Cricetulus griseus: one gene and its partner. The protein of the gene in region 2 interacts with the protein of the main gene of each other region in a biochemical or structural test. Links are inferred from orthologs where the notes say so. Each region holds a gene or a part of one and is shown on either strand. Other genes may lie near its edges.

Evidence for each region.
Region 1: the proteins of Lef1 (region 2) and Mitf form a complex in vitro, tested with the Homo sapiens proteins (2 studies listed by BioGRID). The link is inferred for Cricetulus griseus from reciprocal best matches to the Homo sapiens genes LEF1 and MITF.

What each region holds. Positions count from the first base shown.
Region 1 is NC_048601.1:46,121,535-46,132,845, reverse strand, and holds the start of Mitf (microphthalmia-associated transcription factor), read left to right. Parts: upstream 1-8,313; 5' UTR 8,314-8,469; coding exon 8,470-8,573; intron 8,574-11,311. UniProt on the Homo sapiens protein: Transcription factor that acts as a master regulator of melanocyte survival and differentiation as well as melanosome biogenesis.
Region 2 is NW_023276806.1:27,799,956-27,817,003, forward strand, and holds the start of Lef1 (lymphoid enhancer-binding factor 1), read right to left. Parts: upstream 10,576-17,048; coding exon 10,369-10,575; intron 9,242-10,368; coding exon of another isoform or gene 9,233-9,241; intron 8,220-9,232; coding exon 8,153-8,219; intron 6,841-8,152; coding exon 6,707-6,840; intron 1-6,706. UniProt on the Homo sapiens protein: Transcription factor that binds DNA in a sequence-specific manner. Participates in the Wnt signaling pathway. Activates transcription of target genes in the presence of CTNNB1 and EP300.

The DNA of each region.
Region 1 (11,311 bases), on a different chromosome or scaffold from region 2:
TCTTACAAGTATTTGCTAGTGTATCATTCCCTGACCAGTACCCATGCTATTTCAACTCTTAATAAGAGCAGAAAAAGCGTCTGGCTAATGTCCTTCCTCATTTATTCCTAGGCAGGAAGCACTCGATTTTTCAATGTTCTTGACCTTTGGCCCCTGGATCCTGCTATTTTAGCATCCTAGTCCCAAAGATCAGTTCAACAGTAGGACACTGAGCACCCATTCTTACATTGGATCCTAGGGGGAAAGAAAAATAACTAAGACTTTCATCTGTGACCTAGCAAATGCATCCTTAGCTTTTGAAACCTCCTAACAGCACTTGGTGTTAGCATAGATGGGAACATTGTATCTCCTGAGGATTGCTTCTTCAGACCCTCGCTGCAGGACTGTGCGGGCATCTTGGTTTATTTCTGCTTCTGATTTTAGTTCCTTTAATAAGTGCTAAGTAGGCTTCATCCAATTTTTTTTTCCAGTGCATTTCTTCAAATCACCCAGTAGCATGTGCTAACACGTCTGTCTCTTGTTTTAATGAAAAGGTTTCAGCCTCTTCATCAGCAGTGTGCCCTGGGGACACAGGCTAATTTCTACCCTGATAAATCAATTTAGACTGGGACAGAGTTCTGACAATGGAAAAGTCAGTTATTTTGTCCCATCAGTATTTGTCTGATGTGCACATGAATACGACAGACAGCCTAGTAAAAATTATACTTTCGTCTGCAGTGTCCTTGTAATCTTTACAGAAAGGAACAAATGCAACTGCTATGGTTTGGATAAGGACACATACACAAGAGGCCTAGTGGCCAACCGTTATTATCAGATGGGGCCTAGGAATTTAAACCATTCAGGGTGTGTTCTTGAAGGGGCGTGGAGTACCATTCTCTTCCTATTTTTTGAACTCGAAGCCACCAGAAGATGAAGAGACTGCCTCTGCTACTTGCTCATGTCATAACACACCGTGGTTCTACAGGCTCAGATTACCGAGGTCATGTGACCGCAGACTGAACCCTCTGAAATCTCAAGTGAAAGTAAACTCCCTTCATTCCTTATAAGTTGTCTTCTCAGACATTCTGTCACAGTCATGGAAAGCAGATTAACTTTTTCTGCATGGTCAATTCATTCATTCATTACAGAGACATGTATTCAAAATCAGCCACAAACATGGCCCCAGTCCTCTAAAAATTCAGATATGTGTGTGGCCGCTGCTGGTGGAAAGTTAAGCAGATAGTTAGGGTGTCACAGTCTATTGAGCTATATTTGGGAATGGGCTGCTGAACTGATCTGGGGATGTGCTGAGTGTGGGTAGAAACAGACAAGGCTTCCTATAATGGTTGAGCCCAGTTTTAACATCTAAATAAAGGTATTGAACAAAGAGCCAGAGAAAGGAAAGGGCAGAGAGAGGTTGGCACTAAACAGTGGTTCTCGACCTTCCTAATAGTGCAACCCTTTAATACAGTGCTCATGTTGTGGTGACCTCCAACCATAAAACTGTTTTCATTGCTACTTCATCACTGTAACTTTGTTACTGTTATGAAGCATAATGTAAGTATCTATGTTTTCCAATGGTCTTAGAGACCCCTGTGAAAGCGTCATTAGAGAACCACTGGTCTAAGAACTTCAGGTATTTTTAGCCATTGCAGCCCTAAGGATGATATAAGTGGGCATGAGAGGGCAGGAATGAAGGCCAGGAAGAGATGGGTAGCCAGTGTAACACAGAGCTTGGCCTTTTTGCTGTAATAATGAATGGGGATCCAGAAAGAACTGAACTCAGGTAAAAATCAAAGTGAGATGAGTATTTAGAAAAATATTTTCTTTTAACAAGTCTAACAAACATGGATGCTTTGGGGCATAGTGATTTATAGGAAATTATATTACTGGTGGAGAATTCATGAAGTTTTCTTTGCCTATAACCATAGAAGCCATCTAAGTTCTATTAAGGCAGAGTTTTGAGAATGAATTTTAGTAAATTTATATGATAAGGAAGATTAGCTATTTTAAAATATGAAAATAATCTGTAGCTAATGTAAATTACCCACAATAACTACACAAAAGAGAGAATTTAAAGACAAGCCAGGATATTCTGTGGTCTTTGAAATATTTCTTCACACATATCTATAAGAACACACTCAATGACTTATATTTAAGTGTGAATAGTTCTCAACAATAAGATTATAGATATTAATCTTTCCTTTAACTTACTTACATTTTATAATTTTAAACAATGAGTGATATTTTTTCAACAAGAAAATAAATATATACAGATATATTGCACCAACAGGCCCATCTAAGATACCCACAGGCCTGCTGGATTCCAATTGGTTCTCCATTACAATGAGCAACTATATGGTGGAGAAATAGGAGAGAAAGAGAAGCTGAGAGTTCATGTCTTAAGAAGAGAACCATAACCGAAGAAGCCAAGGCAGTGAGGAAGATGCTGATGTGGGTGGCCTGTGCTGCCACTTTCCGTGTGATGATGTCCAAGCCCAGGCTGCTGCCTGGGGTCATGTCTGGGTTTGTGGCCCCTATAGAAAGCAGCCAGGGGTCTGTGTTGACAAGGTTCCTGTTACTACCAAGGGCTATGCGGGTGCCTGCACTTGCAAGAACAACATATCTGGACTCTGGGAGAACAGGATCTCCACAGACTCCTTTGTGATAGATGACCACAGGGCTGACCTTAGTACCTTTGAACTTGCAGATGACATTTTGAGTGTGCACTTGATGATTTTTACAAAGATCTAAACCTTTGACAAAAGTCTCAAACAAATGTAATGGATGTGTTATTAAAAAATCCTAACAAACCACAGAACAAACTTACATCTTGGAACTTACCTACACATTTTTCATGCTCAATTTCTGAACATTATGCAGCTTCACTTGGGGCGTGTTCTCCTGGGGCGTGACCCACACCTTGGCACAGACTCTCCTGCTTTGGCAAACAGAGGAATAACATATGTTGGGAGATGTGGCAATCTTGCCAGCTGACCCCTCCCCATCCCTGGCAGCCGTGTTCCTTGGCTCTGTTATTTACATTGTTGGTGGGACTCTTCTTAGGCAGCCAGACACCCTCCTGTTCACTCCTGTGTCCATGAACATATTTTTCCAAAGGCAGAATATGAGTAAATTCTGGGTGGGCAGTGGTGGCGCACGCCTTTAATCCCAGCACTTGGGAGGCAGAGGCAGGCAGATCTCTGCGAGTTAGAGGCCAGCCTGGTCTACAGAGCATGTTCTAAGACAGCCAGGGACATACAGAGAAATCTCATCTTGAAAAACAAAAACAAAACTACAACAAAGATTAAGTTCTGTTTAAAAGGGAGTAAGGTACGGGCAGATTTATGGGCTTTTGTGTATATGGTTGAGTTTATTGCTACCAAGGAGGCTGCAAAATAATTAAAATGTATATTTTCTGAAGCTGTGAAAGAAAAGGGTACTGGAAACTTGAGATAATGAGCTTCCTTTCAGATTAGAACTTGGGCACAAAACCTAGATCTACCAATCAAATCTAGCATTGACCTTGAATTGGACAGTAAGGAGGTGAAGTAAGGACTGTATTGAAATGATTTGGGTGATTGTTGCCATTTTCTGTCTCCAAATGTGATATTGTGACAGTGTCTAGTATTTGGGGTGCAAACTGATGTTTACTGTCCAATGGTGGCTTGGGTGGTGATTCCCTAGCCCAGTTCTATCATGGCAGGAGTTACCCAGATGCTCCTACAGGCTGCTTTACATGTTGGCTCTGCTGTCAAGGTGCAGGTCCAGATAGTCTACATTTTCCATAAATCTCTTTCTGCTGAACCGACCTTAGCAAGTTTCCACTGGCTCTTTTCCTCCAACACTCCATGTACAAATCTGTTTCCACACCTTCCTCGTGTCCCCTCTTATTTTCCTTTGGAATGATACACTTTTAAATTTACTTTTTAATCAGGATATAACCCATTTAAAATCATTATGAGTGACTATAAGGATGGTTTATCCCTTAAGAGTGCTTGTCACTCAGCCTGATGGTCTGAGTTTGATCCACAGAACTTGCGTAGGAGTGGAAATATAAGTGACTCCCAGGAATGCCATCTGACTTCTACATATGAACTTTGTGGTGTGTTCTCCTCCCCCATAATAATAAAGTAGAAGAAATTGAAAAATCATTATGACAGATTCTCCTTTCTTGGAAACATTCAGTCACGGTGACTTGGGAGAAAGTTCGCTTGGTAAAGTGCTTGCCATGCAAGCATAGGGTCCTGAGTTCAATCCCCAGAATCAGAAAGAAAGAAAGAAAAGTACTCTAGCTGAATTGGTGAACTTCAGGATAATGAGATACTGTCTCATAAAACAAGGTGGATGTCATCTGAGGAATGACACCCAAGCTTGACTCTGACCTCCACACACATATTCACCCTTACACATGTGAGCACACACTGTGTGTGTGTGTGTGTGTGTGTGTGTGTGTGTGTGTGTGTGTGTATACGAGCCTGTGTGTGCGCATGTGGCAAATTCTTATACCCCATCACCTAACCTCAACACAGCACCATTTATTTATCATTGTCCATTTCCCCATTCCTTTGTGACTAGAAAAGGGAGGAAACAGTATAAGATATCTCACTTATGAGTAATTTGTGTATATCTCTGAGATAAGAAATTTAAAAAAATACAGTGATGGTGGGGGTGTGATTTAGTGGTAGGATGCTCGTCTATTATGAGGGGAGGCCCTGGGTTCCATCCCCAACAAAAACAAGGAAATCAACAACAAAAGCATATTGCCATTATCAGACCTAATAACATTATTCAATTTTGGCTGGTGAGTTTGTTGTAGTGAAGGTATATTTAGGGGAAATACCTCTTTTTCTCCATTTTCAAATAATTGAAGTGTAATTATATCTCAAAAAACTGATGGCCATTTTTTCTCTCCCCTATGTTTCATGGCATTTGTTTTTTTTTAAGACTGTAAAAACACTGGGACTGAAGAGATGTCTCAGTGGTTAAGAGCCCCAGAATTACCAAAATCAGAATTACTTTGGCAGAAAATTCCCAAGGAGGATTTACAGTGATGTTAGGGTCCCTTATCATTTTTTAAAGGAATTACTATGGCTAAAACATAACATCATAATGGGAAAAGTCACTGGTAAACTGTTAAAGATTCAGGAAATCACCTGGCATCCAGGCACGTGCAAACAACTTTAATTAAACGCTGTAAACTATTTAAAATAGTAGATGTGGAAATAGAACGGACTGTGTTGGGAAGAAGAAGGGCTTCACGGGGGAGTGGGAGGGAATAAGAGAGGGGAATGGGGGTTGGTCCTAATCAAAATACATTATATATACATATGAAATTCCTAAATAATAGATCAAAAATTACTTTAAAAGCTGAGATTTTATAATGGTGAGGACAGGGTGGCAGGTGGCATTGTAACAAGTAACCCTGTGAAGGTTTTCTGAACAGAAAGCAGAATGAGCCTAAAGAGAAGATGTAAGACGGGGGTATTTTAGCTGTATGTGTAGTCTGAAGACAACTCCAGCTCAGAGCTACACTTCAGAGATCTCTCTGGAAACTGTACTTCAATGTAGAAGAGTTTGGAAGTCTTGAATTTTCTCTCTCTCTTTTTTCTTTTTCTTTAAGCATGATCCTTTAGGTCTGGGCTTTCATTCACTGGCCTATGTTTCATTACCTTTTTTAGACTCCCAATGTAGCCAAGGGTGCAAGGTTGACCTTGAGCTTCTTTTTTATTTTATTTCTTCAAGACAGGGTTTCTCTTTGTAACAGCCCTAGCTGTCCTGGAACTAGCTCTGTAGACCAGGCTGGCCTCACAGAGATCCACCTGCCTCTGCCTCCTGAGTGCTGGGCTGAAAGGTGTGTGCTCAACCACCTCCCAGCTACCTTGAACTTATTTTCCTCAATCCACCTCTCTTAAGTGCTATGATTATAGGTGTGTGCCACCACATTGTTTTAAGCAGTGTTGAAGTCTGAACCCAAGACCGAATACATGATAGGCAAAGGCTCCACCAACTATACTATATCCCTGGCCTCATTGTAGCGCTAAACCTCAATTCTGATACAAGTCTGTGACAGCTCTCTCAGACCACAATTAGGCACAATATGCTTCTATCTATGTATACTAAGAAGGAGGTGCATAGCTTTTTTTTTTTTCAGGTTAAAAGATTCCCAGTGGGGGCTGGAAAGATGGCTCAGTGGATAAGAGCACTGGCGGCTCTTCCAGAGGACCAGGGTTCAATTCCCAGCACCCACATGGTAGTTCACTACTGTCTATAACTCCAGTTCCAGAAGACCAGACACCCTCACACAAACATACATACATATATACAAGCAAAACACCAACACACATAAAATAAAAATTATTTTTTTAAAAACGACTCCCAGTGGGCCATGAGATTCAGACAATGAAGAGGCCCAGTGTTTCTCAGTGTGGGACTCAATGACATTGGGCCAGAAAGCTTGCTGTCACGCACAATGTTTAGCATATGCGGTTCACACCCGATCAAATTCCTGGAATTGCTCCAAGCCCATCAGTTCCTCCTCCCTATTCTAGCACTGATAATGGAGGACCTGGATGAGATTAGAAGTCTAAATGCATGTTCCTTTCTTGATTTTCTTTCCCCTTCCATTATATCACTCCTGAAACCTAATTTCCAGTAGTTTATATATCAAAGAACATCTTGAAGGGTGATTCCAGATATCCTGTCATGTTATTGTTATTGTGAAGACCAAAAGAAGGTATTTGGGGAACTATATTAAGCTATGAAATTTTGGTAATTGCTACCTCAATGCAGTGTGCATTTTCCCCAAATCCTCAGTTCTCAACCACCCTCTCCAATTGGTAATCTTTCTGATAAGAAATTTTAAAAAGTGCTTCTTTGTGAGGCAAGAGATGGGAATGGGTAATTCCCAGGAGGTGCCCAACCACCCGTGTAGACTTCTTAGGACAATCATTTAATTTATTACTTCTGAAAGTGTAAACACAGGAAGAGATGCTAGTTTGAAAAGAATGTCTTAATCTGGGCAAAAGAAACAGCCAAAGTTAATGCTGTTCTTTGAGCAGCATTTTAATTAACGAGTTAATTAATTGATTAATTGTGTGGGTACCTGCATGTGGCTGTCAGTAGACAGCTTTCAGGAGTTAATAGTTACCTGCTTCCACGCAGGGGTCCCGGGGCATCAGTCTCAGGTTGCCATGTTTGTAGACAAGTACATTTATTTACGAGCCATCTTGCTTGCCCTGCAGTTTACCACATTGCCAGTCAATTTTTCTTAATTTGACCTTGCAACACCAACTCCAACAGGTTTCCTAATCTCTTCTTTTATAAATGAGGAAATTGAGGCTTCTGGGAGTCAAACTGATGTATCTAAGACTACACAGGATTTATTAGAAGAAATCAGGATTTCTACAATCTTAAACACCATTCTTAACACTGATGTCTCAAAGCACCTGTTTTATGTGAAATGAAGAACCCTAATGGAACTAATTAGAAGACAGGTCTACAAGTACAAATGTGTTAAAGTGCAGTCATTTAATACATTACCTAGCTCAGTGCCTTGAAGCTGCACGGGCTTGCAAAGTTAGGACAATCTCACTTGAACTCCCAGCCAGCTGAGAAATTGAAAGCAGACAGTGGCGAAGCTGTTTGGTAACTTGGTGCCTTTTAAAATGAACTGGATCCTCCAAGTGCTGCTTTGGATTAGAGGTAACTAATTGGATAAAAGGAAAGGAGCCTTTCAGCTGATGAAGAGTATTGTAAGAGCCCAGACTTGAGTGAGTTCCAGAAAAGGAACGCACAAGAACAACTTCTCCAATAATGTTCTCATTACAAAGGAGTAGTTTCCAACACTCAGTTTCAATTGAGGACAAGACGATATGTCGCTGCAGCCCGGAGAAGCTTAGGGGCAGCGGGGGGTGGGGGCGAATAGAAAGCCCTTTTATTTTAAAATGGGCTTTAACTCTGAAACTTTTCTAGTGCCAAACCCTGTAGTGTTTTATTTTTTAAATGAACCCTTGGCGTGCCCTCACAGATGTCTGAGCTGGGAGGGACAGTAGGAGACCAGGCTGAATCCGTTGTTATTAATATTAAACAGCCAGGTCTGTACCCTTGAAGCAAACGGGAGAGACGCGGAGAGGAGCTGCTGACATTGACAAGGAATCCAAACAGGACTTGCACTATCGGTACACACCACGTTGCCGCTCCCCGGCTCGGCCTTCTGGGAGTTGTAGTCTTGGAGGAAGCTGCTCTCCTATAGAGCTGGTAGGCTCTGCAGGAAGGAACTACAAATCCCAGGATGCATCGGGATCGGCCCCTCCCGCTCTGATGCCAGTGTAAACTCACCGCGCCGGGGCGGGCGGTCGGCTAGCGGGCTTAGCGGGGCACTGCGCAGGGCGCGTGGCTTGGGGGACTCAAGTGCCCCCCCCCCATCTTCGTCAGGTGCCGGGGTTCTGCTCCAAGTTCCAAGAAGTGGAAGGCGGGCAAGCGGGAGCCATGCAGTCAGAATCTGGGATTGTGGCGGATTTCGAAGTCGGGGAGGAGTTTCACGAAGAACCCAAAACCTATTACGAACTCAAAAGTCAACCTCTGAAGAGCAGGTGAGTGGTGACAGCTGGAGGGAGGCGCGGCTGGAGGCCCAGGGGCCCCGCGCTTGCTACCCTGGGACGGGAACAGCCAGTCTGAATAGCTGTGGGACAAGGACCCCGTGCCCTTGCCTTGGGGTACAGGGAGACTTGACCCCTGGCATCTGGGGTCCTGCTCTCAGAGACTTGCTCGCATCCTAGGGTGTCTGACAGACACTTCGAGGGCACCATGGCTCTCTTGGGATGGCTCATCCAGGCGCGGGGACCCTTGGCTGCACATGCCAGCTGCTGAGCTGAATGGGGGCTGGGGCTGTACCCTGCTGGCCGAGGTGGGGTAAGAGGAGCACCTGATACGGACCGTGACCTGGTGCTATACCCAGTGGCAGAGTTTTTTCTGAGGATCATAGCAGGCTGAGGGCTGGAGAGGGAGAGCTTGGAGTGGATGGAGATCCGATGCTCCAGGGAAGCAATAAACTGGCCTGGAGTATCTCCTTGTAGTTCAGCTTCTTTGGGAGAGACTGCTCCGGGTGGTACCTAGGTGAAGTTCACCGGGGCTTTTTCTGCCACCTGCCACCTGGGAGCATCTGTACCCCCCCACTCCCGGGGTGGGGGTGGGGGGCAGGCAGCGGGTGGGCGTGTCTCCCCAAGCTCTTAGGAATAGAGCTCCTGGCAAATGCAAAAAGAAGGGACAGAGGGAGACAAGGAGGGAAGGAGGGAGGGAGGACAGGAGGGAGGACCGGAGGGAGGGAGGAAGGAAAGAAGGAAGGAAAGAAAGAACGAAGAAAAGCTACTTCAGAGGCCTGTGGTGGTTGGGAATGATCTCTTTTTGGCTGCTACACAAGTTTAATTCCCCAGGCACTTCAAAAACTTTGGGACTTGAGTGAAGATGCCCTCTGGTCTGGTGCCTCCCACCTCTGTACACCTGCAACACCCTTATCCTTTGCATCATGGTCTATTGCTATTTGGCTGGCAGAATCGGTTATCTTCCCTTTTCACTCTCTTTGATCACTCTGGATCCCTAGCACTTCTTATTTGTGAGAATACAGAGAGGGGGATGGTCACTGAAATCTGTGATAGCCAAAGAAAGGCTTTATTTCCACCCCTTTCATTTGTGAGATGAGATAAGGCTGAGGTTGGAAGCATTATCACTTTGTCCATCAGTTGAGACTAGGGTCTAGGTGAGTTTCCCCTGGCAGAGGGGCAGAGAGAAAAGGAGGATGAGTCTTAACTCTGCTGGAAAGTGGAGCCAGGTTACTTTCCTTCAGGCCTGGGGCAGGACCTTGAATCCAGTTAGGCGAACAAACTCTGGGAAGAGCAGATGTCCCTGGCTGCCCTTGCTAAAGCAGGCTTTTTGCACATGCTTGTGGCAGAGTGGAAGGAAATGTGTTAGGCATTGAGATGCATTAACTTGGCCCTTCACTGGTGGCTCCTTTTATAATGGCTATTTTGTATGTGAACGTGGATTGTGTGTATTGGGTGCTCTGAGTGAGATTGTGTAAGGGGTATTGTTGGCTATGCTAGTTAGGGCTTTATCTGCATGTGGCTGAAGGGACCAGTGTTTTACTGAGCAGCCCCTGCTTTTGCTTCTATAAGCAAATGCTCACATGGCCAGAATGAGAGGGTGTGTGTGTGTGTGTGTGTGTGTGTGTGTGTGTGTGTGTGTGTGTGTGTGTGTGTGTGTTCCTGAAAGAAATGAATTAACTGGACTGTTTAGAACATTTATATGATGGGTAATACATTAAATGAGTTTGAGGGAGTGAGGAAAATATGCTTTGGAGAAAGCCAGTGAGTGCCCTGATACTTATGTGGAAGGATTTGGTTCTGTTCTTTGTCACAGTCAGGAGCTCATGTTCTTTGTAGCTAGCTAGCTAGTATGGGGAAAGAAAACTGTAGGTAAGTGGGCATAAAGAACTTCACATGTTGGTACCAGAAGCCAGGTAGGATGGAGGAGACATATGCTCTTTGAAATAAACCAGTTAAATAAAATCTGTGAGTAAGTATCTGGAGTGGGTGACATTTCCTTATACTGTTTATGACAGTTGTCCTAATGGTATTGTCATTTGCATATGTTTTGTAACCTTAAATGGGCTTCATGTGGTTCAGGGTCTTCTCCTTGTTTTTAATTTGGAGTCTTTACTGGGGCCCCCCTTAAGTCCTGGTTGGGAAAAAAGTTGTAATGAAAGTTGCAGACTCTTATAACAAGACCATTTATGTATTGTTTAGATCAGAGGTTCTCAACCTGTGGGTGTTGATGCCTTTGGGTTTGAATGACCCTCTCCAGGGGATGCATATCACAAAGCCTTCGTATCAGATAATTAAATTACAATTCATTATAATAGCAAAATTACAATTATGATGTAGCTACAAAAGTAATTTTATGTTGGGGGTCACCATGACATGATGCGCTGTATTAAAGGGTTTAATCATTTGAGAACCACTGGTCTAGAATGTTCCAAAATTCACCTATGTCTTGCCTATTTCTCTTCGGTGACACTGGCCAAGTCAGTGTCAGTCCTTGCCTGGGTTATTGAATCAATCTCTTAATTCTCTCAGCCTTGGCCACTTTTAGATTTTTAATTTAGCAGCCACAATAATCTTATTAAACTGATTTTCTTTTAGGGCTGAGAGCAGGAGTCAGCCAGTAAAGTGCTTGCCACAGGAATAAGAGTACCTGAGTTTTATTCCAAAAACCCACATGAAGATGCCAGGAATGGTGGTTGGCAGTTGTAATCCCAGCACTGGGGAGGTGGGGA
Region 2 (17,048 bases):
GTATAGACAGTTGGAAAAATGAAAATATTCTATATCCAGACCTTCTTCTCTTCCTCTAACTGGGGAAGTGAGAGAGGCAACCTAAATTCTTCCTACTCTGGGCTGCCATGGAGAACTTCCCACACATACTCATTCCCTAGAGAGCTTTGGAATGATACACACAGGCAAGTTCATGATTTTGGTGAACTGACCTAGAGTTGACACAGCACATAAATGCCTTCTCTAGAGACTTAGCTCCTCACTATCACCTCTCCTAAGTGGGAAACACAAGCAGCTGGGTGTTTCTGAGTTAGCAGTCCCTACTTGCTGCACAGCCCTCTTGATGAAGAGCCCTGCTTCTTCACCGGTATTTTTTCCCCATCATCACTGTTGGGCTTTAATTATTTTTGGATTTTGGGGCTCCAAGTTTTAGAGATTAGATCATTTACATCTTTAATTTACGGGGTTATAAGGAAAGGTCACAATTACTAAATTGTGATTTCACTTTAAAAAAATCAAATCAGGACCATTGTGAGATGGCTCATCAGGTAAAGGCACTTGCCTGTATAAGCCTGATGACCTCAATTCTAACCCTGGGCACAGTGGAAGGAGAGAACAACTTCCAAAGTTGTCCTCTGACCTCTACACATATGCCTATTTCGATTTCATTAAAAAAAATAATAAAACCCAGGAGTAAATGTTAGGGAATAACCCTGAGCATCAGTGGGGCTACAGTGAAGACACAAACACCTCTCTCTGCCCACTTCCCAGAGAGAAAAGCCTGCACAACCTCTTGGCTCCACCTTTTTCTCCTCTGAGTGTCCTTCTATCTCCCCAAGTCCACCAGGAAAACTCTATGGTCCACTTTGGTCAGCCAAATGTGGGCTCCACCCTCCGAACTGAGGTTAGACTCTATTGGTGATCTCAGAGCAATAACACAAACATAGCATACAGTATTCATTGGTATGCACCAAATAGACCACATATCCATGAATAAAATTAAAAATTTTAAGTTGCAGTATTTAAAAGACAACCATGAGTTTATGTATTTATACACACACACACACACACACACACACACACACACACACACACACACGTACATACAGACCCTTGCTATGCTGGCTCAGGCTGGCTTTGAACGCAGAAATTTCAATCTCCCTGCTTCAGCTTTCCAAGCAGCTATGACTACTGATGTGTGCCACCAAATTTGTATATATATATATATATATATATATATATATATATAACTTATGTATTATGTATACAGTGTTTGGCCTGCATTCCCTGCATGCTAGAAGAGGGCACCAGATCTCATTATAGATGGTTGTGAGCCATCATGTGGTTGCTGGGAATTGAACTCAGGACCTCTGGAAGAGCAGCCATTGCTCTTAACCTCTGAGCCATCTATCTCTCCAGCTCCCTGAAAGTATATTTTTAACAGTTATTTCAATAAAGTCCATGGCTACTACCTGTTGTCCTTGCCCCCACCCCTTTGATATGGGATTTCTTGTAGGCCAGGCTGTCCCAGAACTCACTAAGTAGCTGAGGATTAGCTTGAATTTCTGATCCTCCTGCCTCCATCTCCCAAGTCCCGGGTTTACAAATGTGTGAGTACCACCACATGTTCTTTGTATGGTGCTGAGGGCCAAACCCAGGGCTTCGTTTCCTAGCAGGCAGACACTGTGACAAACCAGCTACATCCTCAGCTTTCCCTAAGTGAGTGTATGCCTGGACCAGCTTGTCACAGTTGCTTATAAAGAGCACTGCTTTAAAACATATGCCTCCTTTTCAAAAACCAACCTTCAGTCCTATGCCAGCAACGCCCGTGCTATGGCAGCTGCCAAGTGCTCCCTGTACCTGGAAATAATGCACACATGCTTTTTCTGCCGCCACAGACAACACTGGAATGTTTTATTTTTAAACTCCAAGCCTTTCTCCAAAATCAAAGGGAAAATGATCCATAAAATCCCCATCTTATCCATGATATGTAAATGAAGAACCAAGGAGTCAGGGGGGAAAAATGGGAGTGCTCTGATTGCTCAAAAAAAAATGTTAACCTCATAAATCCAAATGGGCCTGCCTCCAGAATTAACAAATTCACCTTTAAAAACTCCACAGCTGACATGCTTGCGAGGCTCCATGGTGGGCCAGGTGGGCTTACTTGTGAAACTCTAGCTCTGCTAGTCATTCCAAAGTGTGTGGCTGGAGTAAAGACGGTGAGGAGAGTAAAGCTGGATTCAGGCCTGTGATGTATGATCAGTTTCAAACAGTAGGATTCAGCTTGCCTGTTATGCCTTTAATCCCAGCACTTGGGAAGCAGAAGCCCTTGTATTTCTGTGAGTTCGAGGCCCTATGTAGCAACACTGTGTCTCAAAAAAATCAAGACCAAGCAAACAACAACAACAACAACAAATGATTTGTTCCCACTTTGATTTAGTGATCTTGTGTTATAGAAATTACAATATCTTGGGTTGTTCTCATGACTTTCTGAATAAACAGACAAACAAAGCTCCCAGGGTCATTTGAAAAGACATAAACTGTAAATGCAGGGTTGGCTACTAAAGGGCTCCAGGATGGCTCCCTGGGATCCCAGAGTAATCAACATCATTAGAGACCTGGGCTATCTGGGGGAACAAAGGTAATCGCTCCAAATTCTTCTCAATTATGAGTCTTTCTCGACTTGGTAGCAGTGTAGTGAGGAGGGATCAGACAGAATAACAAGAGACTCTGAAGAGGAATTTTCCCACACCTTCTCCTGACAGCCACATAGGAATATTGCATAGAATTCACTTTGAAAATACACCCTGTGCTTGAGGGTAAAGAGGGAAAAGCCAGCTTACTTAGCTGAGAGAAATTAAACGGCTGGAATCAGAAAACTAAAATTAATTCATCAGGAAGTCAATCAGGCAGCCCCTTGCAGTACAAGGAGTCTCCTCCTTTAAAGGCTTCTAATGAGGCACAAGCCACAGTCACTCTTCCCTGTTTGTCTCAAAGCCATCCAACATCAGTATAGCAGCATTCAGGGGCTTCAAGGTTAGCCAAATCCACCTAAAGTCCTTTGTCCCATATGTGAACACTGACAAAAATCAAATCTTGGTTGTTTGTAAACCCATACAAAATCAGGGGTGGGAGATAGAACAGACACAGACAATGGTCTGAAGGACAAATGTGGACGAAGGAAGAGTCATCCAACAGAATCAAACCATTCTAAATAACTAAACATGCATGGTCATAACATGTCCGCGGGAAGTCCACGTTAAGAATAAGGTTAAAAACGCAGCTGAAAAGAATAAACACCTTCTCTTTCCCTGCCTGTGTCTCTCAGGATGATCACAAAGAACCACAAAGTTCCAAGTTCTCAGGATTCAGAGCTACTGTGTTCAGGGGCTATGGGCAGCAGCTTCCTGGCTCTCTGGTGCCACTCCCTCCGCAGGCATCAGAAGAGAAATGGCAGGCTTCTCTGGAAAGGTGTTAACCATTTGGGCTACAGGGGGGACAAATGGAAGTTTGATTCTCAAGATGAATGGCCACAGGCTAATCTTATCCCAACAGGGAACTTTCATATGTTAAAGAAGCTCAGCTCAGGATCCCTCTACACTAGGCTTGGACACCCAGCTCTACCACCGAGCTTAGAACACTAAGAACTGTTTCTTCTTGTTGCTTTAATATTTCAACATTGGCCTTATTTTCACAAAATAAGCTTCAGCGAAAGAAATATGCTTTTACTAAACTCTCTGGGGGTCCTGCCTCTGAAATATTAACAGGCTTGCACATTTTCTCATCACCTGTGCTTGAGGAGCCCGCACTGACACCAAGCAGTTGTCATGGCTGCCTTCTCCCTGATTGCTCAATTTACCTGAACTAAAACTTTGCATCGAAAATTGCAGGAGAGACTCATTCATAGATGTCTGATGTAGATACACTCCCTTTAAAGTTGCAGTCTCAGAAGGAGGTCCCAACTGAAACGACCTTGCAGGAGAAAAATTGGATGGGTGAAGGCAGTTCTCCTGAATAGGCACCATGATGCCTGGCCCGGCTTAAAACAGGAGCAACCGCATATGGTTATGATGAGATTTCAGAAGAGGCGTCCCTGTGTGTGCCACTTGGCCACAGCTGGAATTCTCAGGGCTGCAGTTAGACACAGAAAGGAGAGGGGTCCAGTCGATGGCTCTCTCACCCACAGATGGTCCTCTCCAGTTCTCACAGGCTAGCAGATGCAATAAACTAGGATTTGTTTGTGATGCAAATCCAACTCACAGGGAAGCCCCAACCCTAATGACCAAATGCAAATGGTCACCAGCTCCTGACACCCTCTAAGAAAGTCTACCATTGCTGATGTCAGTGACACAAACAATCCCACTGGGGGCAGAAGGAAGGAGGAAGAGAGCAAAAGTGTGGTTAGGGCGACGAAGAGAGACTGCCTTCCGGTTAAAGTGTTTTTGATCTCAAGAACACTACAAACAGCTGTTAGGTATTACAAACCAAAGATTGTAACTCACTTCAGTTGGACTCTAAAAAAATTGACATTGCCTTGTGGTTAAAACTGAAAGGCTTCTGGAATTGTGCAAACTGCAGGGTCTCTCAATAAAACATACCTAACGTGAGTGCATTTTAACATGCAAGAGGACTCAGCAGAGGCACCAGAAAATAGAATAACGGTTCTCTGAACACCATCTACACCTAGTGACATTTACTCAGCCCACAAATCCTCCCTAAGCAATGAATGGCTGATTCATGGGTCTCAACATTTGAATACACACGTAACAGTAAGTATCTTCCAGCCTATGGACATTTCAAAATGGTGCTGGAATATAAGGCAAGTAGGCAGGCATGCACACATGTGCAGATATACACACACACCAAAAGAGTACATTGGAAAAATCAGAGAAAAGGCTACAGAGACCTAAGACAGAATACTAGCTTAAAGGGAAAAGGATAATTGTCAATATTTGTAAGAGTTTTGCATAAATACCAGGAGGTTTATTACACCAATTTTCCCAAATTTCTTGTCTGGGGAGAGAAGCAGTCCTTCGCTCCATGAATAAACCACAAATCGGTGCAACTGTACACATGGGTAGAACAAACAGTTTTGGAAGTGAATTTCTATTACCAAAGCTCTAACTTGATATGAAAAGGTTATTTGTTGACCTTTTAGCTTTTCCACCAAATTTTCAACCGTTCCTTAACCAAAATGTCCCATTAAAAAAAAAAAAAAAAAAAAAAACGAAAAAAACTGTTTTAGAAAATCAGGTATGTTTGTCTTTCTGGCTCAACAAGTCTTCTGTAAGTTTTAAAACCCAGAAGCATTTAAGTATATGTTGGGGGTAATTTCTAAATAATGGACTATTGCTTTATTAGTTCATTCACATTTTAGGTAGAAGATCCTACACAATACACAGACATTAAATATCATCAATATTTGAAATGCCTTAAAATAATGGGATCATTCCTTGTAACACGAACGTCACAAAATCTCCAAGGTTTGATCCCAACAAGCTCCATTTCAACTGCGTTATAAAAACGAGAAAAACCGTATTCCCTACGGTTTTTAGTTTAGAGAGCCGTCTGAAATTTGTAGAAAAAAAAACGATCACGTTAAGTCTGAAATCACAAGGCCCACAGACTCCATCCACAGAGCTATCACTTTAAGCACTGAGGGCTTAGGCCATTAAGATGGCCACAAGCACTCAGGTTGGTTACCAGCCACTTCCTCTCTGCTTCTTCAGTGAACCCCCTGCTCTCAGATTCTGTCACTAAGGCATCAGTGACACCCCTTCCCCCAAGTGTTGCTGACTTCTCAGTTTGGAGATGCTTTGAGTCCCACTGAGACTGTAGATTTGCCCCCAAGAAGTTACTGAGACTTTACCACTGGACTTGAGTGGTGAAGGAATGGGGCTGGGAACAGGTTGAGATGACCGCCCTCTGCAGCTTCCTAAGAAGCTCCAGTATGTTCAGTATATTCACCAGTACAATCGTGTTCACGTCCTCTAGAAGCTACCATTGAGATGTTTTCTGGAGACATAGGCACAGTCTCCACCCCCCACAGCCCCCACACGCAAGGGAAATAGCACCAAACAACAAACGTGAAATCCTTTGTAATATTGAACACACCAGCATAGTGTACTTGTATGACACTACATTTTTTTTTTTTTTTTACAACTTCAAGTCTTAACTGATTAAAAATAGCAACAACTTTCACTACATGGTCTTCAGATGAGATTTTCCCAACTGACAATGAAGTGAAAATGGCTCATCTGCCTTCCTTATAAACAATAGCTAATATAATAAAACAAGTAATTTTCAGAAGCCAAAATAACAGTCTGGAATATCTAGGTCCAAATGAGCCTCTAAGCAGATTAGGGCTTTGAAAGCTACCTGGCCCTTAGTTAACTGAAAGATTCAATCCACTTCCCTCCCATCAGCAGCATGGAAACACAGCACTTATGAAAACCATAGACTTGTTGACTTGGCTCCATTTGGTTTCATAATACGTGACCCTCTACTCATTTGCCTCAGCACGTTAGCCTAAATTTAAGAATCCAAACGGGAGACATAAAGACAGCTCTGTTCTCAGGCTGCCATTCCTTATACAGCTCTTACCAAGTGATGAACAGTCACATAAAATGAAGGCATTGCCAGTGTGTTTGAAGAAATAGGCATTCTGTTGAAACACAAATTAATTTGCACGTCTGAAAATAATTTTCAACATCAGCATGTTACTCACTGTCCTCGGGATGGGTGGAGAAAGAGATCCATTTGACATGTATGGGTCACTATTCATATTTGGCATCATTATGTAGCCAGAATAACTGGAATAGGAGGGCCCCTTGTTGTACAGGCCTCCATCTGGATGCTTTCCTGGAGAATAAAAAAAAAAAAAAAACAAAGATGCACAGACTTTCCTTTTATATCAAACTATTATCATCAGAAAATCTCTTGCTTCTAAGACAAGCCAGAGTTTACATAAAATATTATAAAATATAAAACTGGGTTATTATGTTCTACTTTAGATTGACAATATTTATGCTCTCCAATGGCTTAACAGCAAACCAGATGTTTAAAAAATATGTGGTTCAATTTACTTACACTACTGACTGATGTTTTTACAAAAATAAATGTTATTCATCCAACTTAATTTGTTCTAATGCTAACAAACTGGACTGAGAAATACAGAAACACAAGGGAACACACACAAACTTAAAATTGAACTGTTAATGTGTGAGGTCCTCTACCCCACAACACATACACATTTCTACATTTGAAGTCTCCTTCTTTTAGACAAACTCGACAATTCCACCTGTACTTCTGGATTTTTACCAAATTCTAAAGGAGAAAACTGGATCTAGTGTATGGCTAAAATCCAAATTTGTAGTGAATTAACCTTTGGAAGAGCTAATTTCATGGCTAAACTTACGTCAGTCTGACAAAGAAATGTTCCTTGCCTTTTAATCTGTATAACTACTTGTTGCCAAGAAGGAAGGCTGATATACAGCTCTCTCCCTGCCCCTAGGTCGACACACTGAATGTACAAACATTCCATTCTAGACAGGCCAATTGTTAAGTAATTGAAGGAGACCAGAAATGCCAACTGAATGACAACTGAACCCTATGGTGATCTGATTAAATTTAGAATGAGCAAGGAAGGTTTGTGTGTGAATGTTTTTTTAAAGTATTGTCAAGAATCAGCAATGGGGGAATTGTCTATCATCTGATAGTTGTAGCTTCTAATATTTGTTGATATTTTAGAAGCTAGGCTCAGTTTTACTGAGCCCTGATCAATCATCTGTCCACACACTGCCTTCCTTCTCCTCTGTACTGAGAAACTATACACAGCAATTTTGCAAATGAAGAATTCTAAATTATTACTGCTGAAAAATACTGCTCAGAAACAACCCTTCTTCTCTGAGAATCCGGAAGCCAGTGGAAACCCAAAGGCCCAGATTCATTCAGGGACTGGTTCTAAACCATGTGGTATACACAATGAGAGAGAGACTGAGTTTCTGGGCTTTCTTTCTGGGCTTTCTATTATGTTGAAATGGGACAGAGGTGGGCACAGTCTTGCATTATCTGGTCCCAGCCTACTGAACTCAGATGCAAGCACCACAAGCAGATTCTCAAATTGCACATGTCCTCTGATAAAGCGGGGAGAAAGAGAAATCCAGCTTCTTACCATCATCAGGGTGTTCTCTGGCCTTGTCGTGGTAGGACTCCTGAGAGGGCTGTGCTTGTCTGACCACCTAAAGGTATGGGTAGCCACCCCCAAAAGAAAGAAGAGCATCTTAGAGTTTCTAACAGTTTCAGTGTGTCTGCTGATAATTCAAAGAAAGACATTTAGGTAAAACTCCATCTGCCCGTTTGGTTAAAAATTAAGGACAGGCTAGGCTTGATTGAGTACAGGAAAGCTTCTTTTCAAAGTGTATTTCTGAGTGATTTTTAAGTACTCCAGATCAAAGGGTAAAAATGGTAGCAAAGAAAGAAAGAAAGAAAAGAAAAGCGAATTTGGGGATGACCTGTCCTGCTCTAACAACCCAACTTCTAGGATGTATCAGCCTCTTTGGCTTTGGTTCACACTGACAGGATTTGATTAAATGCCACCAGGATATTGTAACTGAAAATGAGGTCTGGAAACGTAAACAAAACAACCCACTTTGCTGAGGTCTTAGGGAAATTGCCCAAGAGCAGTCCTGGCCGGAACTGCGTTCACTTACAACTTAAAAGTCTGAATGCTATGAGGCTATCAGAGTCGAACTGGTCTGTGGTTAAAGGGAGGGAAAATTGAGAGTCGGGTTACAGACATCTAAAAGGTAGCCCAGTTAATATCAGTTTTGGTAAGCGCCACCGACCCGACTCAACCACGTGCAAATCAGTGGTATCAGTCAGTGGGTCTCCTTGCTTCACTTCCACAGCGGAAGATGGACAGTTCAAACTCCCAACCCCAGTAGTTCTCGGTTTCCAAAGCACTGCTGTTCTCCTCGGACTAGCAAACCCTGGAAACGTGAGGTGGCTGGAAATCTGTGGACTACTCTATTGGAGGCCACTCTACCGTACCAAGTCCTCGAGTTTAGGAAGTATTTGATTCTTTGAACCTGTGTCCTCCAGGCGACCTCATCCTTCGGGCACACAGAGACTTTTTTTTTAACCTCATTGACTGCACCCAAGCCACCCTCCCCTACTTTTTGCTGGACTTTGGGACACAGAGCCCCCTTATGGCGCCCCCCCCCCCCCGCAGCCTTCTCAAATGCGTACTCACCCCTGCCATCGGGACAGAGAAGGTAGGTAACTCTGAGGTGTTCTTAAAGGTACTCTTTAAACCCAAAATGTCCCCGCCCCCGAAACCACCCTTCCTTTGGGGTGGGGGCAGAAGGCTGCCATTTAAGGAAAGCGGTATACTCTCCAAGTCTCTCCGGGAGGAAAAAACGTTGGGGGCATCATTTGGCTATCAACTTTTCTAGTGGATGTCCCCACTAGACAGGCTTCCCCAGCTGCTGGGCCAGAGCGGCCACTGAGGTGTGGGCTTGGGGGGATCTACGCCCATCCGATGCTCGCGCGCGGCCCGGCTCTCTGCTCTCTCTCGAGCCGGCACCCACGTGGCTCTATTTACTCTACTCGGGTTACCAGCGCCGTCGCCTGCAGCTGGCCCCGAGATCTGATAAAGCGTGTCCCTCCTCCCCAGCCGCGGCCCGGCTTCCGCTGCTGCCGAGCTCGCCTTTCTTCTGCAGAGATCCAAGGCCTGCCTAACCCCAAATAAACGCCTTTCTTTCCACTTTAAGTGCCGGGGTTGCGGGCGGAAGGACTGCGGTGGCTATGCTGTTGGGTGGCTCGGGTCGGCTCGCCCACGGCTCCCCGCAGCAGCCTCGCCGGCTGTGGGGACCCGGCCCCGCAACGCCCCCACAGTTGGGGCGCGCGCCCTACTCCTTGGCGGTTGGGACGGCCCCTCCTGGCCGGCCCACGCCCGCCTCTTCTTCCTCCCGCCTGAGGCTCCGCTCCTTGGAGCCTCGGTGGTTTAACGCACTTTTGCACACTGTACCAAGAGAGCTAGCGGATGCACTTTGTGTTCTACCCCAGGACGAACTTCGCAGTTGTGTTTAGACATCCCTGCTTTTAAATGCGTGGCGTCCCTCAGCCCCGCCGAAACGTCGGAGGACGAAACAAGGTCGGGTAAAGGCCAACGTTTCCTGCCCAGCCACCGCCGTTTAGCCACAGACCCACTTGGAATACATTTCCCTGCCCGCCGCTCACACACGTGCGCACCGTGGACCAGGGCCGTTATTCCCCGCCCAGCCCGCGAGGGACCTGGGCGCAGCGGCCAAAGTGGCCGCGCGCTCGGCTTGCTTCCTCCCTGCGTCCCCTGAACCCGTCACGCCTCTCGGGATAGCGGCCACTCACCTCATGCCCGTTGCTGGCTGGGATGATTTCGGACTCGTTAACCAAGGATGACTTGATGTCGGCTAAGTCACCCTCCTCCTCGGGGTGACTGATCTCGGCAAAGATCTTCTCCTTCTGGGGATCACCCTCATCCTTGAAGGGGATCATCTCATCGGTGGCGCAGAGTTCCGGGTCCCCTCCGCCGCCTCCTCCAGAGAGTTGGGGCATCCCTGCGGCTCTGTAATCTCCCGCTCCGCTGCGGGAGCACTCAGCGACGGCAGGAAGAGGGGGTCGATGGGTGGGTGGGTGGGGTGGGTGAGAGTTGGAAGACCGAGTGTGGGAGGACTATGAATGGAAGCGGGGTGGGAAAGCGAGGGGCCCGCAGCAGGAGCGGCTGTGATTGCAACGCTTTCCCACTTAGAAGGACGCGGGCGCCCGGCCCCGGGGCTAAGGGCACCAGACTGCGAGGGCGGCAGTCGCCGGCGCCTCTGAGAGCGTCTGCGGCGATCCGCGTGCGCTAGGCTAGGCTGCCAAGGCCGGGTGGCCACGCCGCCTTGCTGGGGTCTGTGCGCCGAGAACACGGGTTCCGGAGGGGGCACGACTTTCCAAAGTGCAGAGGAGGGTCCCGTGACGCGTCACCGTGCAAAACTTCTCCACCGTGGATTCCTCGGATGCCGATTACGGAGTTGTTTTTTTCGAGAAGCTGAGAGCTGGGCCAAAAGGCTCCGTTTGCCCCAGCAGAGGTGCGAGGAGAATCAGAAAATACCGAAAAGTCCACTTCCTGATGGGTAAACAATAAAGAGCCACCCGGGCTGCAGACGTCCGTGTTGGAGCTTCTTTCCTTCCCTTTCGCTTCGGTTTTCCTTCTGGAGGAGCATTTAATCTGCTGGGGGGAGGGGGGACGGAGGAGGAGGGGAGAAAAAGAGAAGTTTGCCAAGAATAAAGTTTGTGCTGATGAGCCCTGGGAATCGACAGTGGCTGGCACGGCGGAGTCTTGGGGAGTCACAGCAGGAGCCTCGGGCCCAAATGTTCCAGCCCTCAGCTTGGGCCGACACACACACACACGCACACGCACACACACACACACACACCACTCTCACACGCACACACACGAGCCCGATCCCTCTTTGTTCCCGGCTCGAGTTTCTGCCTGGCTCGCTGGCGTTGTTACTCGCCTCTTTCCCCGCCTCCCCTCTGTCAAAGCAAAGAGCTGCCGGTGGCCCCTCGGCTCCTCCAGGCCGCCAGGCGGGGAATACCCGCAGCGGGGTCGCTTGCAAGGCTCCGGGTGAGTCCGGATGCCAGGGCCCACAGGAGCGCAGCCGGGTCCCTCTGGTGCGCGCTGGCCAGCAGGTGAGCGGTTGCGCCTTCCCACCGCTTCTCCTCGCCGCGCCTAGCCGGCGCTGCAAAGCTATTCACTTGCGTCGCTTCTCCTCCCCCGCCCCTCCCCCGCCTCCTGCTCTCCTTGGCTGCTGGCTGGAGGGGTGGGGAGGAGGGAGTCGGCTAGGAGGAGGGGGAGGAGAAGGAGGAGGAGGAGATCCAGGTTCTTCCCCAGCTCTAGTACATTTCCCAGCACCTAGAGGACTAGTCATAGTTTTGGGGGCGCAGTGGGGGTGGGTGCGTGTGTGTGTGTGTGTGTGTGCGCGCGCGCGCGTACTCGGGTGCATGCCTAGAGAGAAAAGAAAAATGCAACCTGGAGAAGGACCGGGTGCTGCTTGTAACCCACCCAAAGCACGCTGTTGCCCAGGTGAAATTGACAAGAAACTCTACCTGAGTGGCTTAACTTCATCATCTAAGCATCTCTTCTTTCTCTTGCCCCCCCACCCCGACTCATGCCCTTAGCCAGCCTCTCTCCCACCTCCTTTCCGCCGCCCACTCTAGCCCCCTCACTCAGGCAAGGGGAGGAAGATGAAAGAGAAAGCCGCCGGCGCTGTGGTCGACACCACGTTGATAGATGCTCTGACAGAGGGAATGAGGCGAGAATTAGGGACTAGGAGAAGGAAAAGGAGAAAATGCAACTCATTGCTCACCTAGCCAGAGAAGAGACGCAACAAGCACAAAAAAAAAGAGTTGTGGCTGTGTAGTGTGTGTATAATATCATACGCTCTTCGGAGACAAGGGAAAATACAATCTCCAGGCTTGCCAGGGCGAAAGGACCAGGAAGAAGGGAGCGACTGAAGACTGGACCTTAATTATCGCTTTTAAAACACTATCGCTTTCATTGTGTCCTTACCACCGGATGGACGTGGGTTTTCGGCTAAGCAAGACTCAGTGTGTAAGAGACCTCGCAGAAAATGAAAATACATCCCAAAACGAGGGGAAAGAAGGATCTAGAAAAGGGAGACATGACTGCGCGATTGCTGACATCCTGGACAACAACGCTGAAAGGGACCCTTGACGATGTAAATCCGAATCCAACCTCAAAAATTCCCCACTTTCCACGGTCTCTTTGATGCATTTTGCAAAAGGATAGGACTTTTGAGGGAGACGCTTTGTGAAAGTTACTGTGTAAGTGAGTCTTAAGTTGGGAAACATTACATTTTGTCCTTTAGTTCTCAACCCCTCCCCTCAGTCAAATATTCGGGCAAAATGATTACACCAATGCGGTAGCCATCTGTAAAACCTGGGAACAGTAAACAGGAGACGGGAAGAACTGTATCTCCATCTTCCTTGAGTTGAAAATAGAACACAGAAGTATATGTTAGTGCCATTACATAAGACCGCTCAAGCAAAGATCTCTTTTAAAGCTGAAATTGTGGGCTATTGGACATTGTAGACTTTAACAGTTAACTAAGCATTTAAAGCTTTGCTTTCTGATAACTACCAGTCTGGGAGCTTGCTAGGAAATAGTTTTTAAAGCTATATATCTATATTATATCAATTCAGTTGGTCCCATGGGTAATAAGTAATTAATAGGTAATATGTCCCAGTCTGTCGTATGTAAACTGATAGATTTGGGAACAATTAAGAGGCTGGTGAAAGAAGCCAGAAAAACGAAAACTTTTTTTAAAACTAAATAATCGATAAAGCTATGCCTTACATATAAGAAAACCAAAAATGGCATTTTACTTCAGGGTGTCAGGGAGAATAGTAATGAGGGTTGGAAATGGATCCATTTTTTATAGTGATGGCATGCAACCTCCATTGCTGTTAGTGTGGTAAACGAGGAGAGGGGGACACAGTTTTAGACATCTACAGCTCCTGCTACATAAAATTTAACAAAGTCAGAATTCCTCCTCTGAGTGCGCCAATTGGACTGAGCAAAAGAACCCTGGAAGATGCAGTTTCATCAAAGCAGCCGGAGTAGATCGGTCCTTTTCATCAAACCCAGAGGGGGAGGGGGCAAGAAGAATGGCCAGAGGGTATTTTTTGAAAGCCAAGAGGAGATTAAATGAAGACTCTACATCTTCCCTGTTTAAGTGTTGCAACTAATTCGAATTCCCATTTTCTCCTTCGCGTTAATTATCTGGACTCTGTGAGTCATATAGAGCTCAGCTCCAGGTGTCCCGGAGATTAGGAGCTCAAGAAGATGGGAAATTTTGGCTCAACACCTAGTGAGAACGGTTTACAAAAAAAACTGGGATAGGTGGCTGCGTTTGGTACCTTGCTGTAACCCTCCTTGGAAACATTGGTTCTAACGAAATCACCTAATGGCCTCGCTCTATACGCGTGGCGGTGAGTGGTCTCCCCGGTGTGCTTGTTGTCTTTAGCAGTGTTGCAAATCTTAACTAAGGCCACTCTTAAAACCATGTGTTCACATGTTTTAAAGCGTGGTCGGTAAAGGAAGGTGACTTTGCCTTGGTCAAGTCTTTAAGAGAGAAAAGCAAGGAGATAAAGGAGGGGCGAAGTAACCCCAGGAAGTGGTGTCTCTGGACTTCGCCTTCCTGGCAAAGGCATTCCAGCCGCCTAGCAGTCTATCCTAATTCCTGTGGGGCTGTTATTAGCATAAGCAGCGGCTTCTTCGCTTCTTGGGGTCAGGCGAGTGGGATCCCAGATCTGGGATGTGATGGGTGCGGTGCAGCAGCAGCCCCGCCGCCCCCTTTCCTGGGATGCAGAGGCAGGTTGTTCGTGTGAACTCTAGCGAACCACTGGAGGTTGGCTGTAGTAGGTTTACTCCCCTTCAGGATGTGGGTTTCAGGGGGCGTTTTGATGTGATTTAATTCCGACCGTGAAACAATTGCTGGGGGCTGGCTGCCTTGCTGTTGGTTTTTTCCCCTCCTGGTGGCTTTGGGTTTAGTTTTGGGAGCGAACTTGTTTTATACCAACACTTCCTTTGGCATAAGGCGCTGTCGCCGGTGCTGTGCCTCTGAGTGGGGATGGAGAAGGGGCGTGTAGAGGGGGTGAGGCGCCTAACCCCAGCCAGAATCCAGGCTTCGGGGAGCAGAGTTGGCCGAACTGCCCCGAGGTGAGCGTAGCCCAGTGCGCCGGGAGGGGGGGCGGGATAGATAGGAGAAATAACACACACCAGAAGCCCCCCCCCCCTTAGCGTTTTGCAGCCAAGAGGAGTCCCGCTGCAGACGGTCCAGAGTCCTTAATTACAGGGATGAGAAAGCGCAGTGCCCCCGCACAGTCCTCCCCGCCCCCTAGGTCCTAACCCCAGCCCAGGCTCCGGGTCTTCCCTTTGTGTGGCCTAGACTCTCTGCCAGCTGCAACCTAGGTGGGATCCCAAAGGAAGGAGGTGGCGGGGCCTACGGAAGAGGATGCTCTGAGAGACAGGCGAGAAGGGACTAGAAAAACGAATTCATGCGATTCCAGGGGCGGAACCGAGACTCCGGTTTCCCACCCCAGCTTCGGCAGGAGGCTCAATCTGTGGGCACCTTCAGTTTAACCGACGTCACGGGGAAGGGGGACAAGGGAAGTGGCAGTTTGTGTCCCAGGGGCTCTTCCGCCTGAGACAAACAAACCCAAAGCCCCTTCCTCCAGGGCCAGGGAACTCGTGGGACCGTGACAACCTCCTTCTCCAATCCGGCGCCCAGAGACGCCCGGTTTCTGCGCGGCCCGCGTCCGCCCGTTGGCTTCTGTAGCTCGACGAGGCCTCCCGCGGTCAGCCCTGTGCGCCCCCCTCTTAGGGTGGAGGGAGCCCCATCCACTCTGCTTCGTGAGATGACAACTCCGGGCTGGAGTGCCAGCCCCAGCGCCGGGACAGCGGCGCGGAAGGGTGGCTGAGGAGAGACGGAGGAGGGGACGGGGGGGGGTAGGGGGGTGGTCGCAAGGCAACAGAGTGAGTCAAAGGGGGTGCAGAGGTTCAGCTCTGCACCAGGAACTCGAGATCCCCACGCCAAGAGCGCGTGGCATGGGGAGAGGAGGGATGCTGCACATGGACTTCGGTTCTGGAATACACGTGCCAGCCGGGGAACCGCTAGTCTGGGGGGCTCAAACATCACATTCTTTTCTTTCATTTCCCAAAACTTTTCTCTCTCGCCTTAATGTGGCGTGGGCACGGGCTTTCTGGGAAGCACGCCCCTTCGGCCCCTCTCTCGGTCCCTCTGCCCCCTCCGTGCGCCCTGGAGCCGGACGCGCGCAGAAGGGCCGCCCGCGTGCGCGGGGCTCGCCTTATATCGGCGGAGGGCGGCGCCTGCGCAGGGCCCGGCGCGGCGGCGCGGCCTTTGAAGTCGTGGCGGCTGCGGCTTTCATCCTTTCTTTTTTCCCTCTCAGGCCCCTTTGTGTGACTAAATTTGGCAAGAATATGGATCCCAGCCAGTCTTTCCACGTGTGCTCCCAGCTCCCAGCTGAGAAGGCCAAGGGTTCTCTTCCGGGTAAGGAGACAGGGAGAAAGATCAAAGAGTTTGGGGAGCTGGATCTGAAATGTGAATTGAAAATAAAAATCAAGCCTGGACACATTCCAGTTTCTAAAGCAAAACCAACCCTCTGCAGAGGCCATCTCGCTACAGCGCTCTTTCTCTCTGCTCCCTTTTGCTCCTTTTTTTCCCCCCTTCTCGAAATCACTAGAGCACATGGGATAAAATAAAGACAACATAGGGAAGCACTTAGATTCTCCAGATTTTGTTTTGCAGTAATTTTATTAGGGAAAATATCTTGTTCATAATTACCGTTATGTGAGGCCAAATTTCTTCAGCCATAAATATTGTCTTCTTCCAGCATGCTTCACACTTTCTTCTGTGGCCACATTTTTTTGAGAGAGACCGCTGACACAACACGTACAGTTTGTGCATCCTGCTTTTTAACCCCTCTACACATGGTCACGGTGCACCGCCTGTTTCTTCCCCTGAGATTAGATTTTGGAAAACTGATGTTAATAGCATTCTTAATCGCTTTCCCAGTAGGTCTCTGTGGTTTGAAATGGTCCGGTTGGTGGGTCTACTCACATGTTTCAAACACGAGACTCCACAGAAACGTTTCTGTCTACGGTGAAAAGCCTGTAAGTTGTCATCTCTGACACACTGCTTGAATGTCTGTGCGGAGACATTTTCCTAACAGTGTGATGCAGAAGCAGTCATCCCAGGTCCAAGACAGGCTCAGCAGGGGGTGAAGGTAGGTAGGGCATCTGACCTCTTAAACGCCTCATTTTCTCTGCAAAGAGCTGTGCAAAAAAATGTAAGCTATTAGACCAGGATGCAAGATGCTTCTTTAAGGGGGGAAAATCTGTTAATTGCAAAACCAAAATGAATAGAGCCCTGGGAACTATTACCACAGAGGAGGCAAGCGTGACTATGGGAATAATGAATCCATGGGGAAAGTACTTG